2 linked regions of the Oryctolagus cuniculus genome follow. The protein of the gene in region 1 purifies or fractionates together with the protein of each later gene. This does not show direct contact. Links are inferred from orthologs where the notes say so. Each region holds a gene or a part of one and is shown on either strand. Other genes may lie near its edges.

The links. Proteins that work in one complex are often made in the same cells at the same time.
Region 2: the proteins of STK35 (region 1) and C7H1orf174 purify together in Homo sapiens (affinity purification with mass spectrometry; 3 studies listed by BioGRID and IntAct, counting the BioPlex papers as one, with this or other methods). This does not show direct contact. The link is inferred for Oryctolagus cuniculus from reciprocal best matches to the Homo sapiens genes STK35 and C1orf174.

What each region holds. Positions count from the first base shown.
Region 1 is NC_091442.1:27,788,613-27,796,449, reverse strand, and holds part of STK35 (serine/threonine-protein kinase 35), read right to left. Parts: intron 5,270-7,837; coding exon 4,557-5,269; 3' UTR 4,521-4,556; intron 1-4,520.
Region 2 is NC_091438.1:162,668,960-162,676,896, forward strand, and holds the start of C7H1orf174 (UPF0688 protein C1orf174 homolog), read left to right. Parts: upstream 1-2,534; 5' UTR 2,535-2,677; coding exon 2,678-2,692; intron 2,693-7,937.

The DNA of each region.
Region 1 (7,837 bases):
CTCTTCCAGGCCAGCTCTCTGCTGCGGCCCGGGAGTGCAGAGGAGGATGGCCCAAGTCCTTGGGCCCTGCACCCACATGAGAGACCAGGAGAAGCACCTGGCTCCTGGCTTCGGATCAGCGCGGTGCACCGGCCACAGTGCGCCGGCCGCAGCGGCCATTGGAGGGTGAACCAACGGTAAAGGAAGACCTTTGTCTCTCTCTCACTGTCCACTCTGCCTGTCAAAAATAAATAAATTAATTAATTAAATTTAAAAAAAAAAAAAAAAAAAACCAAACAAGGCCCAGAGAGGTGAGACGACTTGCCTGAGGCCACAAAGCCCAGCCCATCAACCACAGAAAATGCAACTGGATCCCTGCCCTGTCATCAGGCAACACTCCTTTCAGGAGAATTCCAAGTTCCCAACTCAAAGTGCGTTTCTCTTACTTTTTGCAGAAAAGCAGACACCATGTAGCCCTGAATTAAATGCTAGCTGAAGTCTACACTCCTAGATTACAGAGGTCGCCCGAGGTCAAGTGTGTTTACTACAGGCAGCTGCAGCAGAGGCGTGACAAGCTGGCCAGCAGCCAGGATGCTCCGGCTCCAGGCGTTTCTCTGGCGCCCTGAAGACACCCTTCTCGCCAGGGCTGCAGCCACCACCCGCGTTCAGCTCCTGTCCGCAGCACAGCGCCTCACTGCACGCTGGCTCTCCGAGGCCGGCCCGGGCCCAGCCTTTCCACAATGACAGCAGGACATGGTCTGCCCTCTTTCATTCGCTCCTGAGTGCTCGCCCGCGTCTTCCAGCAGCTCCACGCTGAGTGGCACGGCACCACTCTATAAAGCAGAAGGAAACGACAGTCCAGCCGATGACGGCCACACTACAGATCTGCAACCACAAAATGATGCCGCTCTACCAGCTGGACTTGGTTTGCAAAATAGTAATTTTCCATACAATATATTTAACACTCAATTGTTTCACTGTTATTTATTCATTCATTTGAAGGGAACATTTAAAAGATCCTCAGTATGAACTTAATACTACAAACGTCCACAGCTATAACCCCAAACCCAAACCCCTGGAGTCCTCAATTTCAAGAGCGAGGAGCGACTTGCAGATCAAAACTTCTGTGAATCACCGGTCTGTGCGTTCTCTGAGATTCCTCTTCCCACCCCTCTCTCAAGGCCACTCTAGGGGCCAGCACTGTGCTGCAGTGGGTTAATGCCCTGGCCTGACCCACCGGCATCCCATATGGGTGCCGGTTCGAGACCCGGCTCCTCCACTTCCAATCCAGCTCTCTGCTATGGCCTGGGAAAGCAGCAGAAGATGGTCCAAGCCCTTGAGCCCCTGCACCCACGTGGGAGACCGGGAAGAAGCTCCTGGCTCTGGATCAGCATAGCTCTGGCCAGTGGGCCAACTGGGGAGTGAACCAGCGGATGGAAGACCTCTCTCTCTTTCTCTAACTCTGACTTGCAAATAAATAAATCTTTAAAAAAAAAAAAGGCCACTGTACTTAGGGGTTCCCCAGTTAATTGCCAAAACCACACAGGACCACAAATGGCTGCCTACTGCTAAGTCCTCCGCGCAGGTCTTAGCTCACTCAAGCTCCAGGTGGCATATGCCACGACCAATCACCTCCTCCTCAAGTCCTTGCCTCTCTTGCTAGCTCTTTCCTTTCTCCACAGCTCCAAGGCCGGACGGCCCAGGAGCTCAGTTCTCTGCTCTCTGGTCTGCACTCTACAGCTCCTTGGCAGTCCCTAGTTTCTATCTGAAGGCTGGCCCCTTCCCTTGAACCCCACTCTCATTCACCTGTCTACTTTACATCCGCGTTTAGATTCTATATAGGTGTGACAAACTTGCAGATGAAAAAGCCTATCTTCCTACAACCCAGCCTACTCTCCCAGTATCTTCCCAGCATTATTTGGTGACAACTGTATCCTTCTCATCAGGCCAAACCCTTGGAGTCGCTGTTAATTCCCCTTTTCCCATAATTCACGCTCAATCCAGCAGGAAACCCTGTTGGATCTGAGTTCCAAGTTTACCAAATCCCTTCACCACCTCACCTCTGCACTGCTTGGAGCCGCCAACATCTCTCACCTGGATTGTCAAGGTCATTTCCCATCTCAGCCCTCACCTGCTGCCTTACGTTCTTTTTAGCGCAGGAGACGGAGACCAGATTATGCCACGACTGTAAGCACCAGTGGATTTTCACCTCTCCCCAAAATAAAAGCCGGACTTGACTCCTGGTTACCTCCCTACCCTCTTTTCTTGTCTGCTCCACCTCTCTTGCCTTTACCCTGGCTGTGATCTGTTTGGGACACTCTTCCCTAAGAAATCCAAGACTCACTACCTCAACTCCTTATTTTTCTTCCAAGATCCCACCCTGAACCCTTCCATTTAAAAGCACAACCCTCACCGCCCAGCACTTAGCACTTCCTAATAAATTGCCTATGCCTACTATCTGCCTGACTTCCCAATTGAATGGAAGCCCTACAAATGCAAAGAATGCTGTCAGTCTTGTTCACTGAAATACCACCTGTGCCTACAATGGTACCTGGCAAAAGTGTGGGAAAAAATGCACTAAATGAATAGATGGATCAAGCCTCTCATTCTACCTGGCCAGATACAGGTCACCCACACCACCGACTTGAAGCTTTTGGCACCACAAGGTTTGGCTCTGGGCACACAGACTCGGGCCCAGGATCACAACTCTAAATGCCCACCCAGAACTGGGAAGGACAGGCTATAGTCAAATTGGCACCACTGGTACTTAAACTCGTAATCTATCAGAGCCACACAATTCAGTTGAGACGCTTACCTGTAGCTACATTCCTAGTTCCTAATCTTTTCTCCTGTTTAAGGCCACCTGTTGTCCTAGATGAAGGAATCATCCCTCTTGAGAAAGAACTTCACCCTGCAAAGCAGCACAAATCCCAAGTGCTGTGCCCAAACAGAAGCCCTGATCTCAACATGTTGTGACAACTCCATAATCCTAACCCAAACCCAGGTGCCTCTTCCCATGACAACCTTCTTGCTGCACCAGAGTAAACCTGAATTCTAGATTCTTTCAAAAGCAGAAAAGGAGATGGAAATGGGACGTGACAGCACGAAACGTAATTAAAATGCCGTCTAGCCTAGTCTTGTGGCTTGTAACATACCGCTACTCCAAACCTAGCTGTGGGGAATGTTGTTCTCTCACTCAGTGGGTAGCTGGACAAATTGGCCTGACACCTGGAAGGTACTCAATAAATGTCTGTGGAATGGAGAATTCAAGCTAGTGACTCACTCCAGAAATACGCACTCTGAGAGCACCACAGACATAACCAGGCTCAACTTGGTGTGAGCCAACTGCACCAATTAACGAGGCTGAGGAAGAGAAAGGAGAGCCTCGCAGTGACCCAGGTGACGCAAGGCCCTGTGCTGAGATGCCCGAGGCCTCTCCCTTTGTGGTCACTGGGGTCAGCACTGTCTCCCACTATCTGGGAGTCTCATTTCCAGTTTGGCAAGTTGATGTTAAGGAAAAGGCAGCTCAGAGTAAGACAAACCTGTCCTTAACTCAGCAGGGCTTGAGCCTTGCAGGGCTGTGAAGGTGAACCATGTGGAAACACCTGCCCCGTGCCGGGAGCCATCTTACTTCCCTTGCCCATACTAGGACCCTGCTCTGGTCCGCAGAATGACTGCTGCTGCTCTTGGTACACGCTTTCGTCTGTCCAGTGCGCCAGGCTCCTGCCGGCTCCTGGCCCCACACAGAGGTGGGTCCTTCTACCTAACACACCTCTGCCCTAATCCCGGTTCTTGCCTCTGGACACTACCAGCCCTTCTCCCCACCCTTTTAAGGAATGTTAAGGCCAAGTTCACACAACACTTCACTTTAAAACAACTGTAACTGATGTCTCTCCCCAGCTCAGCTGCAGAACTCATGGGGATGGGGAATGTTTCTGATTGGGTTGATCACGTAACCCACAAGCCTAGACAAATGAAAAGTCCGCCACACATCTAGTAAGCAGAGGCTTCCACATGAGTATCCACTGTAGTATGTACAATGGAGAAACAGCCTGCTACCTGAACTAGAATGGTTCAAGTAGGGTACCCAAAATGGGATGTCACACTCAGGAAACTGAAATCCACGCTCAAGTGTGATGGGAGAAGGCTCCAAAGAGTGCAAAGTACAGGGAGCAACGTTCCATATAACTACAAGGCTTAAACTCTGCGGAACTGGATCTGATGACAGGGACAGGATCAGGGACGGTATTTACCCACTGAAAATAGCATTTTCTACAGCGAGCAATGATTACTTGATGGTGGGAACAAGAGCTTCTTAAGAACCTTAAGGGACAGCTCCAACGCAACCTGCTCTCAGACTTCTCTAGACTTTACGGCTTATATTCAAATAACCCCACTCTCTCCTGGTCAAGACTTGGGGAGATGGTGGAGAACAAGCACTCGGATCTCTTGCACCCCCCTCCCCGCCCCGCCCAACTCCAGCGTAAAAGCTCGGTCCAGCAAGCGTTCGTGTTCAAGCACCGAACAAGGAGAGTACTCACCTAGTTTAAAACACCCAAGATGCTCAGCCCTGAATTTTAAGCAGCACATGTGACCTGGTCCATTCTGGTTTCAAGTTCAAAGGCATCAGGCCGGTCCTGTGGGTTAGCAGCTAACATGTCTTTCAAGAGCTGCTTGATCCCCTCAGACATGGAAGTCCTACGTTTCTGGGGGATGTGCAACTCCATCTTTGGGTTTTCTAGCAGCGCCTCGCCAACAGGGACGATCTCAGTGCCCTGTTTGATGTAGGTCCCCAGGAGCTCCTTCTTGGTCTCAGAGTCAATAAAAGTGATTCTCTCTATCATTGCCCAGATGATAATGCCCAGGGCAAAGATGTCCGCCTTGGCCGTGTAGTGCCCCTCCCAGACTTCGGGAGCCATGTAGAAGTCCGAGCCGCAGGCAGAGGACAGCCAGTACTTGTTCACATTCACATTTTTGTTGTCTGGATTGCCCTCTCTGCCACGGGGTGCCAGCCCGGCACAGACCTTGCTCAGTCCAAAGTCTGCCACCTTGAGGATGGGGGTGCCCGACCGCTCGGTGATGAGAATGTTGTCCGGCTTTAGGTCCCTGTGCACGATGTGGTTTTTGTGCAGGAAGGCAATGGCACTGGTGAGCTGTAGCATGAAGCTTTTGTTGGTGGCGGGATCCGGCCTCCGAGACAGGACATACTGATTCAGGTCTCCACCTTCACAGAACTCCATGACAAACCAGAGATAGCACGGCTCCTCCGCGTAGCCCAGGATCCTTTCTCCTGGATCAAAGACAGGAAGGAGCGCGAGTGAGACGGACACACGGGCACAGCACTATTAGAATAAAAGAACGCAGCGTTTTAAAGTTCAGAGTGACAGAGGTGATGAACAAGAGGTGCTCCAAGAACACCTGCATAGCAGGTACCACACCTGTGCCTTTCACACACAGGCCTGTTTCTACCCACAGCAGACAAGGTCAATACACAGGCATGAGGCTCCGATCAAGCACTGGAGTTTGGAATCAAGTTGAGGTAGGAACTCAGTTCTCTGCTGTTTGGTGGACTAAGAAGCTATGTTTTCCTTGTGTGGTCTTCAAGCAAGCAGCTCCCGCCCATCCCTCCCAGGGTACTGGCCATGACACAGGTAAGGCAAGAGAGACAGCCATTAGATGTCCACGGCTTCTGTCACTGTTACTCCGTGCCAGGCAGATGACCTTCCCTCTCCTCTCTGTTGACCTGTAGAAGGATTCTCATGAACACATCTGGACTAGCACTACCACTCTGCTTACTTCTGAATCACCCTCCAATCCATCAGTGGACTCTGCTAGCCCACCAGACGCCTAGCACGGGCTGGGCACATAAAGAGCCCCATCTACAGGAAGCTGAGTGACAAGGACCTACAACAGCGGGCCATACCTGCATCAAGGTCAACTTCTAGGAACAGTGAAGGGTGGGCAGGAGTCCCCAGGTCTGAGGACGTCATCGGCTGCAGGACAGGCAGCAGTGTAGCAGGAGGCAAGAAGGGAATTCTAGACCAAGAGACGAACTGGACAACAGAACACGGGGACAAAGGAATGGAAAGGAAGTCCGCTGGGAACAGTGGCATCTGAATTAAGTTGTGTGGTCTTGAAACTCCAGGAAAGCTGGTGACTAATTCCTCTACGTAAATCTCAACTGAGGCAGATGAGGAAGCTGGACTGCAAGGGAAGGGACCTGCCCTGCATGGTCACTGGGCATCTGGACCTCAGCCAGGACCTGAGTCCTCCAGGCCCCCGCATGCTGTACCCATTATAGCAAAAACAAGGGCTACACCTTCTCAGGAAGACTCTGCCAGAAGGTTCCTCCCACTAGACTTTTATTCGACTTTATTACAAAGAGAACCAGGTACACGACTAACCCAGTAGCCCCGGAGCTCCAGGCTGAGACCAGAGATGACCTGACATGCAAGACAAAAGCTTTAGGTTTGTGACCACAATCTGACAGGCCTCACTTCCCTTGTCATTATATAATTTTCTTGTTTCTATTACTCTCAATCAGAGTAATACAGGTAGAACCAGTTTAGGGCAGATGGGTTTCTTTTTTTAAAAAATCAGTTGCTTCCTCTCTCATAATCCTCTTTCTAGGTCATTGGCTGAGTGGGTCGAGGTGCTGGATCTAAAAACACCAGAAAATGAAGCAGCGATTTGAAACACAGATCAGCGTCAGTTGAAGAGCAAAGATCTGTTAAGGGGGAAGCAAGAAACGTCTCCTGGTGGCAAAGCCAGAAAGGAGTTTAAAAGCCATCAAATTCCTGCTGAAGGGCCTGGTCAGAAAACACTGAAACTTCGGGTGGGGGAATAAAGGGTGGGGAACGACATTATTTTATATACAAAGTTGGTAACCATGGTAACTGAAGTAGAAAGAAAACAAGTCTGCAAAACAGACTGAAGCATAGGGCTAGATTATGAGAATCCAAGGGAAGACAAAAAGGCGTGCACATACACACACTCACAAGTGCCCTGCATTAGTGAGTGGGTGGGGGAGACGGGCCCCTGGAAGGAGACGCCTGCTCTGAGTAAGTCAGCTAAGCTCAGGAGATGCTAAAGGCCGGGTGATTAAGACGCCACCTGGGACGCCTGCATCCCCTGTTGGAGGGGCTGGGTTCAAGTCGCTGCTTCACTTCAGACACCATGTGACGGCTCAATCACTCGGGTTCCTGCCACCCACGTGGGAGACCCAGATTGAGGTTCTGGCTTCCAGCTTCGGTGCTGGGGGATTGAACCGGCAGATGGAAGATATCTGTGTATCTCTCTGCCTAAAAAAAATAAATTTTTTTTGAAAAGTGAAAAGGCGGGGCCGCGTGCTGAGAGGGAAACTCTGGATAGGAGGCAGCACCATCAGACTCCATCAGTGAGCATGGCAGGAGGGAACACCGGCCGGTGCTGCTGCTTGTCCCGGAGACAAATGACTCTGCACGGAGTCTGGGTTTCAACCCCGACTCTGCCCGCTGCAGGGTGGATTCTTAGTGCAAGGAAAACGGGGAAAATGAGGAAGGGTGGAAAGGCAGTCAGAACCTCGGCAGTCCCTGAACCTCTCTGACCTCCATCCTCTCACGGATCAAACAAGACTGACACCTCCCCGACACGACCGCTGAGAGCAAGGGACGGTGCACAGTGTAAGACACTGGGACTTTGGGGATCACCAAAATCAACCTTCCCACTTGACCTTGACAGAGTCCTTGGGAGTCACCAATCTCCACAATCCTGGTGCTGCTGCCCAGAAGATCAAGATGACAATGGGAATTCCATCTAAGTTGTCCCTGTCAGGTTGTCCAAGCTGATACTTTCCAGCTGGGCCGGGCCGCTCCTTTTT
Region 2 (7,937 bases), on another chromosome or scaffold:
AGCTCCTGGCCACCTTCCCCTCCCTGGCCTGCAGATCTCCCGCTCTGACCATCCCCCACCATCCCCCACCACATGCCTCCCTTCCTCCTGCTGCCAGAGGGGCGGGGAGAGGGGCAGCTCACGTGAAGAGCAGGGGGTGGGGGGTGGGAGGAGTGGGCGGCTGGAAGGCACAGGGAAGGGGGCCACCTCGTGCACCATTCCGCCCTCCAGGGTGGGCGCTGCCAACGTCCGAGAGCCTCTGCCACCCCTTATAGGCCCCTGTCCTTCTTGGACGGACAGGGCAGGGTCGGGGCACCTTATCTGTCTCCGTAGCCCACGGGTGCCCTCCCTGGTCTGCAGCCTGATGAAGTCAGCTCAGGGAGGGCCCCTCGGGGCAACAGACCTGAGCCTGAGGTCTCTGGGCCCCTCCTAACTCCGCCCAAAAACTCCATCCCCGGGGCCAGCACCGTGGTGCACCGGGTAAAGCCGCCGCCTGCAGTGCCGGCATCCCATATGGGCGCTGGTTCAAGTCCCAGCTGCTCCACTTCAGTCCAGCTCTCTGCTGTGGCCTGGGAAAGCGGTAGAAGATGGCCCAAGTGCTTGGGACCCTGCACCCACGTGGGAGACCCAGAAGACGCTCCTGGCTCCCGATTTGGATTGGCACAGTTCCAGCCGTTGCAACCAATTGGGGAGTGAACCAGGAGATGGAAGACCTCTCTCTCTCTCTGTCTCCCCTCTCTCTAACTCTGTGACTTTCAAATAAATAAATAAATCTAAAAAAAAAAAAAAAAAAAAAAAACCTCCATCTATGTCCGTCTAAAACGCAGCCCCAGCAGGAGCGGGCAGAGGTCCCCCTGCCGTCCTCGGCGGTGGCCAGGGCACAGACGCGGTGAGGCCCGGGACCCAGGCGCCTGTCCGAGGAGCTGTCAGCACGTGGCCTCGGAGGGGAGCCCCCAGCAGCTGAGGGTCAGCACGTGTGGGGGCAAACTATCCCCAGTGTGTCACGACAATGACGCCTAACCAGAGCAGCCAGGAGGGTGAGGGGCCGCGGGAGCCCCCACGGGTGGGAGGCAGGGGTGACGGGCGGCGAGGGGCTGACCTCCGTGCACTTCCGTGGCCCCGGCACCCCCACAGCCCTGCTGAAGGGAGGCGGCGTCTCAGCGCCTGCCCCAAGGTGCCCACGACACAGAGCTGGGAACTCGGGCCCCGCCCAGGCCCTGCAGGCCCCAGGCTGCTTCCTTCCAAGGCCATTGTCCCGTGGGGGGCGCGTCCCCGCCCGACAGAAACCCCGGCAGCTGTGCGGAGACCCGGTCCGCGGGCGCCATGGGGGGGGGGGGGGCAAACTCTGAGCTCCTTCCTTCTCTCCTTTGAAATACAAAGGCCTGACCGCGTCCCTCGCAGAGGTCAGCAGCCTGGACAGACCGCTCCACCAGGGCGGCCTCCGCTGACGAGCCTCTGCCAGCTAACCAGTGGGCAGTTCCCGCCGGCGTTCGCGTGTTCCGCCGCGCACACACAGATGTTTGCGCAGAGAATGCGGGGGGCCTGGGCCACGAGCTCCCCCGTCTGCGGTCTCTCGGGGCCCGGCCCAGCCGCCGTCCCGGGGGACACACCTGTCCGAGGGGGACATGCTCGCCGGCCCCCCGGGGGCCCACGCCCCGCCTCGGGCCGGGTGACAGCAGCTGAGCCGGCCCCCGCAGCTCCTCCAGTCGGACCTGGACGGGGCCCAGCTGCTGCGGGCAGCGCCGGCCAGAGAAGGGGGCGCGGCCGGGGGCTCCGCAGAGGACAGAGCAGCTGATGGGATTCCACAGGCAGGAGGGAGACCGGGCCGGCGTGGGGCCTGGCGCAAGGGCGCGGCAGGCCACGCGCGTCGGGGGCTCCGCATCCGTGGGCACCACCCCGGGCGGCGGCAGGCCGGGCGAGGAGTGGGCGCCGTGGGGAGCGGCTAGGGCTCCCGCTCCCAGCGCACCTGCGGGGAGGGACCCAGGGCCGTGTGCTGTCCCCGTCCGTGCGTGTCTGTCGGTGCGGGCGCACCTGCACCTGCTGCAGCTCCGCTCACTGAACCCAAGGGGTCGGGGGCCGCTCAGGGGGCAGGGCTGGGTTTTCTACTTTTATTTAGAAAACTTGAAAACTAGAAAAGCGGTCCTGACCCCCGCCCCCCTCTTGTCCCGCCCTTCTGCGCAGGCGCAGCTAGGCGACCCTCAGCCAAGGCGACCTCGGACGCGCCAGGAGGAAGCGCCCTTCCCAGACTTGGCCGCTGCCCTTCTCAGACATGGCGGCCCCAGACGCGCCAGGGGTGAGCGCCCTTTTCAAACATGGCCGTCGCCCTTCTCAGACATGGCGGCCACGGGCGCGTCTGCGGAAATGCCCGTCTCAGACATGGCCGCCACCGCGCTCCACCACGCCGGTAGCTGACGCGCCAAGAGGCGGCCCTCAAAGAAGGCAGCCGCCCCTGTCGAACACGGAAGCCACAGTCGCGCCGAGAAAAGCAGCCCACTGCCCCTCCCGAAACCGGCGACCGAGTCACCCGAGCAGCGCCCGCGAGCTGAGTGACCCACGCAGGGCCGGGTCACGTGCCTGGGAACGCCGGCCTGCGATTGGCCGGCCGTCGTGACGTCAGACGCCGGCGGCATGTGTGAGCGCCGCGAGCCGCCGCGCCACTGCGGAGCGGTAGGCCGGGCGCGGGGCGCCGCTCACACCCATGAGGAGGCGGAAGGTGAGGGGCGGAGGCCGGCAGGGGCTGCGCCGGGCGCGCCGAGGGCCGAGCTGGGGCCGCGGGAGGCCGGGCTGAGGGGCAGCCGCGGCCTGGCCTGGCTGAGGCCCCCGGGCGGGAGTTCCGGGCCACGCCCCCGCGGGGGTCCTGCACGCCCAGGGCGAGGGGCTTCGAGCCACGCCCCCTGGAGGATGGGTGTGGGCCCGCGCGGGAGGGGGGTTTCTGGCACGCCCCCTGGAGAGGGATCTGGACCATGTTTGGGGCAGGTGCTTCTGGTCACGCCCCCCCAGGGCCCTGGACCCTGCGGGGAGGGGCTCTGGCCCCGCCTCCTGGACCCTGCGGGGAGGGGGCTCTGGTCACGCCCCCCCCGAGGGCCCTGGACCCTGCGGGGAGGGGCTCTGGCCCCGCCTCCTGGACCCTGCGGGGAGGGGCTCTGGCCCCGCCTCCTGGTTGTGGTCTCTGGACCCGCGCTGGAGGGAGGGGCTCGCCCCTGACCCGGCCTCCGCTGTCCTCGCCGCCCGGTGCGGAGCCCGGCCCCTGTCCCTGGGCTGCGGCCCTGACGGAGGGGGTGGTGGCCGAGCCCCCTCCTGCCTGTGTGCCGTCCCCTCCCCGTGGGGTTCGGACCGGAGCCCGCCTTCCCGCTGCGGCTCTGCGCCTGTGAACCCCGCGGGCCCTCCGGTCTGGGGGGGTCGGCCTGTGGACCCCGCGGGCCCTCCGGTCTGGGGGGGTGTTGGCCTGTGGACCCCGCGGGCCCTCCGGTCTGGGGGGGGGGGTGTCGGCCTGTGGACCCCGCGGGCCCTCCGGTCTGGGGGGGTGTTGGCCTGTGGACCCCGCGGGCCCTCCGGTCTTGGGGGGGATGTCGGCCTGTGGTCCCCGCGGGCCCTCCGGTCTGGGGGGGGGGTGTCGGCCTGTGGACCCCGCGGGCCCTCGGGTCTGGGGGGGGTGTCAGTCTGGGGGGGTGTCGGCCTGTGGACCCCGCCCTGTCACCGCGGACACCGCCCTGTGCGGCTCAGGAGGCGGCGAAAGCCCGTGTGGAGGCTGCGGTGGGGGGGGCTGTGTGTGAACATTGTGGGTGTGTGAGAACACTGTTCGTGTGTGTACACTGCGTGTGTATGTGCGTGTGTGAACACTGTTCGTGTGTGTACACTGTGTGCGTGTGTGGGTGCCGTGTGTGCGTGTGTGGGTGCCGTGTGTGCGTGTGTGTACACTGTGTGCGTGTGTGTATGCTGTGTGTGTACATGTGTGAACACTGCGTGTGTACGCTGTGTATGCCTGTGTATGTGCATCTGTGAATGCTGTGGGGGGGTGTGAACACTGTGTGCGTGTGTGAACACTTCATGTGTGTACACTGTGTGTGCCGTGTGTGTACACTGTGCGTGTGTGTATGCTGTGTGTGCGTGTGTGAACACTGTGTGTGGGTGTGTGTGTGAACACTGTGTGTGTGTGCCGTGTGTGAACACTGCATGTGTATGGGGACACCGTGTGTGTGTGAACACTGTGTGTGCCATGTGTGAACACTGTGTGTGTGCCGTGTGTGAAAACTGTGTGTCCCATGTGTGTACACTGCATGTGTGTGTGGACACCGTGTGTGCGTGTGTGAACACTGTGTGTGTGTGAACACTGTGTGTGTGCCGTGTGTGAAAACTGTGTGTGTGTCCCATGTGTGTACACTGCATGTGTGTGTGGACACTGTGCGTGTGTGAACACTGTGTGTGTGTGCCGTGTGTGAACACTGGGTGTGTGCCATGTGTGAACACTGTGTGTACGTGTGTGAACACTGTGTGCGTGCATGTGTGTGCGTGTGTGAACACTGTGTGGGTGTGTGTGCCATGTGTGAACACTGTGTGTGTGTGTGCCATGTGAACACTGTGTGGGTGTGTGTGCGTGTGTGAACACTGTGTGTGTGTGCAGTGTGTGAACACTGTGTGTGCGTGTGTGTGAACACTGTGGGTGTGCCGTGTGAACACTGTGTGGGTGTAGGTTGCGTCGGGGCCGCCGGCTAAGTTCTTCCCTTATACTGCTTGTGGGGTGAACCTGCCGGCCCCTCTGAGCTCTGCTTGCCTGCAAGTGTGTGTGTGCGTTGTCCTCATTATGTTTAAGGTTTTATTTACTTCTCTGAGAGGCAGAGTTAGAGAGGGGGAGGGAGGGAGAGGGAGAGAGAGGGAGGGAGGGGGAGGGAGGAGAGAGGGGGAGGGAGAGGGAGGGAGGGAGAGAGAGAGGGAGGGAGAGAGGGAGGGAGGGAGGGGGAGAGGGAGGGGGAGGGGGAGAGGGGGAGGGAGGGGGAGAAGGAGAGAGGGGGAGGGAGGGGGAGAAGGAGAGAGGGGGAGGGAGGGGGAGAAGGAGAGAGGGGGGAGGGGGAGAGGGAGGGAGACGGAGGGAGGGGGGAGAGGGGGGAGAGGGAGGGAGGGGGAGGGAGAAAGAAGGGGAGGGAGAGGGAGGGAGAGAGGGAGAGGGAGGGAGAGAGGGGGAGGGAGGGAGAGGGAGAGAGGGAGGGAGAGGGAGGGAGAGCAGTTTCCTGCTTCGGTCCGCTGGTTCACTCCCAAAATGGCCGCCCAGGCCCAAGCACCTGGGCCGTGTCTGGCCGCCTTCCCAGGCCGCGGCAGGGAGCTGGGTGGGAAGAGGAGCAGCCGGGACTAGAACCGGCGCCACGTGGGTGCCGGCGCCGCGCGGCCCTGTCTTCCGCTCTGCCGGGAGCTGTGTCGGGCCAGGATTCCTGGCTGGTGGGTGTTCCTCCCCCGAGGGCCTCGCGGCCTCCGTGCCTCGCGGCCTCCGTGCCTCGCGGCCTCCGTTGTCTTTGCCTGCAGAATCTAAAATGGCGTCGGGGATCTGTCCGCTGCCCGGCTCAGCCCCGGCGGGCGGACCCGGTTAGGCCTCCGGGAACGTCGCGGCTTTCAGGCCTCGTCTGCTGGGCTGCTCCGTCTGCTCGCTTTGCAGCAGTCTCGCCACACACAGACCCCCAGGGACAGCCCTGGGGAGCTCACACACGTCCCTGGGGGCCTGTCCCTGGGAGTGTCTGTCCCTGCGGGTCTGTCCCTAGGGGTCTGTCTCTGGGGGCCTGTCCCTGGGAGTCTGTCCCTGGGAGTCTGTCCCTGCGAGCCTGTCCCTCAGGAGGTCTGTCCCTGGGGTCTGTCCCTGGGGAGCCCTGTCCCTGGGAGTCTGTCCCTGGGGGTCTGTCCCTGGGGAGCCCTGTCCCTGGGGAGCCCTGTTCCTGGGAGTCTGTCCCTGGGGGGTCTGTCCCTGGGGTCTGTCCCTGGGAGTCTGTCCCTGGGAGTCTGTCCCTGGGGGTCTGTCCCTGGGGTCTGTCCCTGGGAGTCTGTCCCTGGGGGCCTGTCCCTGGAGGCCTGTCCCTGCGGCTGTCCCTGGGGAGCCCTGTCCCTGGGGCTGTCCCTGGGGAGCCCTGTCCCTGGGAGTCTGTCCCTGGGGGCTGTCCCTGGGAGCCTGTCCCTCAGGAGGTCTGTCCCTGGGGATCCCTGTCCCTGGGAGTCTGTCCCTGGGAGTCTGTCCCTGGGGAGCCCTGTCCCTGGGGCTGTCCCTGGGGAGCCCTGTCCCTGGGAGTCTGTCCCTGGGGTCTGTCCCTGGGAGTCTGTCCCTGGGGGCCTGTCCCTGGGGAGCCCTGTCCCTGGGGCTGTCCCTGGGGAGCCCTGTCCCTGGGAGTCTGTCCCTGGGGGTCTGTCCCTGGGGTCTGTCCCTGGGAGTCTGTCCCTGGGGAGCCCTGTCCCTGGAGGCCTGTCCCTGCGGCTGTCCCTGGGGAGCCCTGTCCCTGGGGCTGTCCCTGGGGAGCCCTGTCCCTGGGGCCTGTCCCTGGGGGCCTGTCCCTGGGAGTCTGTCCCTGGGGTCTGTCCCTGGGAGTCTGTCCCTGGGGGCCTGTCCCTGGGGAGCCCTGTCCCTGGGGCTGTCCCTGGGGAGCCCTGTCCCTGGGGCCTGTCCCTGGGAGTCTGTCCCTGGGGTCTGTCCCTGGGAGTCTGTCCCTGGGGGCCTGTCCCTGGGGAGCCCTGTCCCTGGGGCTGTCCCTGGGGAGCCCTGTCCCTGGGAGTCTGTCCCTGGGGTCTGTCCCTGGGGGCCTGTCCCTGGGAGTCTGTCCCTGGGAGTCTGTCCCTGGGGGCCTGTCCCTGGAGGCCTGTCCCTGGGGCTGTCCCTGGGGAGCCCTGTCCCTGGGAGCCTGTCCCTGGGGGCTGTCCCTGGGGCCTGTCCCTGGGAGTCTGTCCCTGGGGGCTGTCCCTGGGAGCCTGTCCCTCAGGAGGTCTGTCCCTGGGGATCCCTGTCCCTGGGAATCTGTCCCTGGGGGTCTGTCCCTGGGGCCTGTCCCTGGGAGTCTGTCCCTGGGGTCTGTCCCTGGGAGTGTGTCCCTGGGGGCCTGTCCCTGGGGAGCCCTGTCCCTGGGGCTGTCCCTGGGGAGCCCTGTCCCTGGGAGTCTGTCCCTGGGGGTCTGTCCCTGGGAATCTGTCCCTGGGGGCCTGTCCCTGGGGAGCCCTGTCCCTGGGGGCCTGTCCCTGGGGGCTGTCCCTGGGAGCCTGTCCCTCAGGAGGTCTGTCCCTGGGGATCCCTGTCCCTGGGAGTCTGTCCCTGGGGTCTGTCCCTGGGAGTCTGTCCCTGGGGAGCCCTGTCCCTGGGGCTGTCCCTGGGGAGCCCTGTCCCTGGGGCCTGTCCCTGGGGCCTGTCCCTGGGAGTCTGTCCCTGGGGTCTGTCCCTGGGAGTCTGTCCCTGGGGGCCTGTCCCTGGGGATCCCTGTCCCTGGGGCTGTCCCTGGGGAGCCCTGTCCCTGGGAGTCTGTCCCTGGGGGCCTGTCCCTGGGGTCTGTCCCTGGGAGTCTGTCCCTGGGGGCCTGTCCCTGGAGGCCTGTCCCTGCGGCTGTCCCTGGGGAGCCCTGTCCCTGGGGCCTGTCCCTGGGAGTCTGTCCCTGGGGTCTGTCCCTGGGAGTCTGTCCCTGGGGGCCTGTCCCTGGGGAGCCCTGTCCCTGGGGCTGTCCCTGGGGAGCCCTGTCCCTGGGAGTCTGTCCCTGGGGGTCTGTCCCTGGGGGCCTGTCCCTGGGAGTCTGTCCCTGGGAGTCTGTCCCTGGAGGCCTGTCCCTGGAGGCCTGTCCCTGCGGCTGTCCCTGGGGATCCCTGTCCCTGGGGAGCCCTGTCCCTGGGGAGCCCTGTCCCTGGGGTCTGTCCCTGGGAGTCTGTCCCTGGGGGCTGTCCCTGGGAGTCTGTCCCTGGGGGCTGTCCCTGGGAGCCTGTCCCTCAGGAGGTCTGTCCCTGGGGATCCC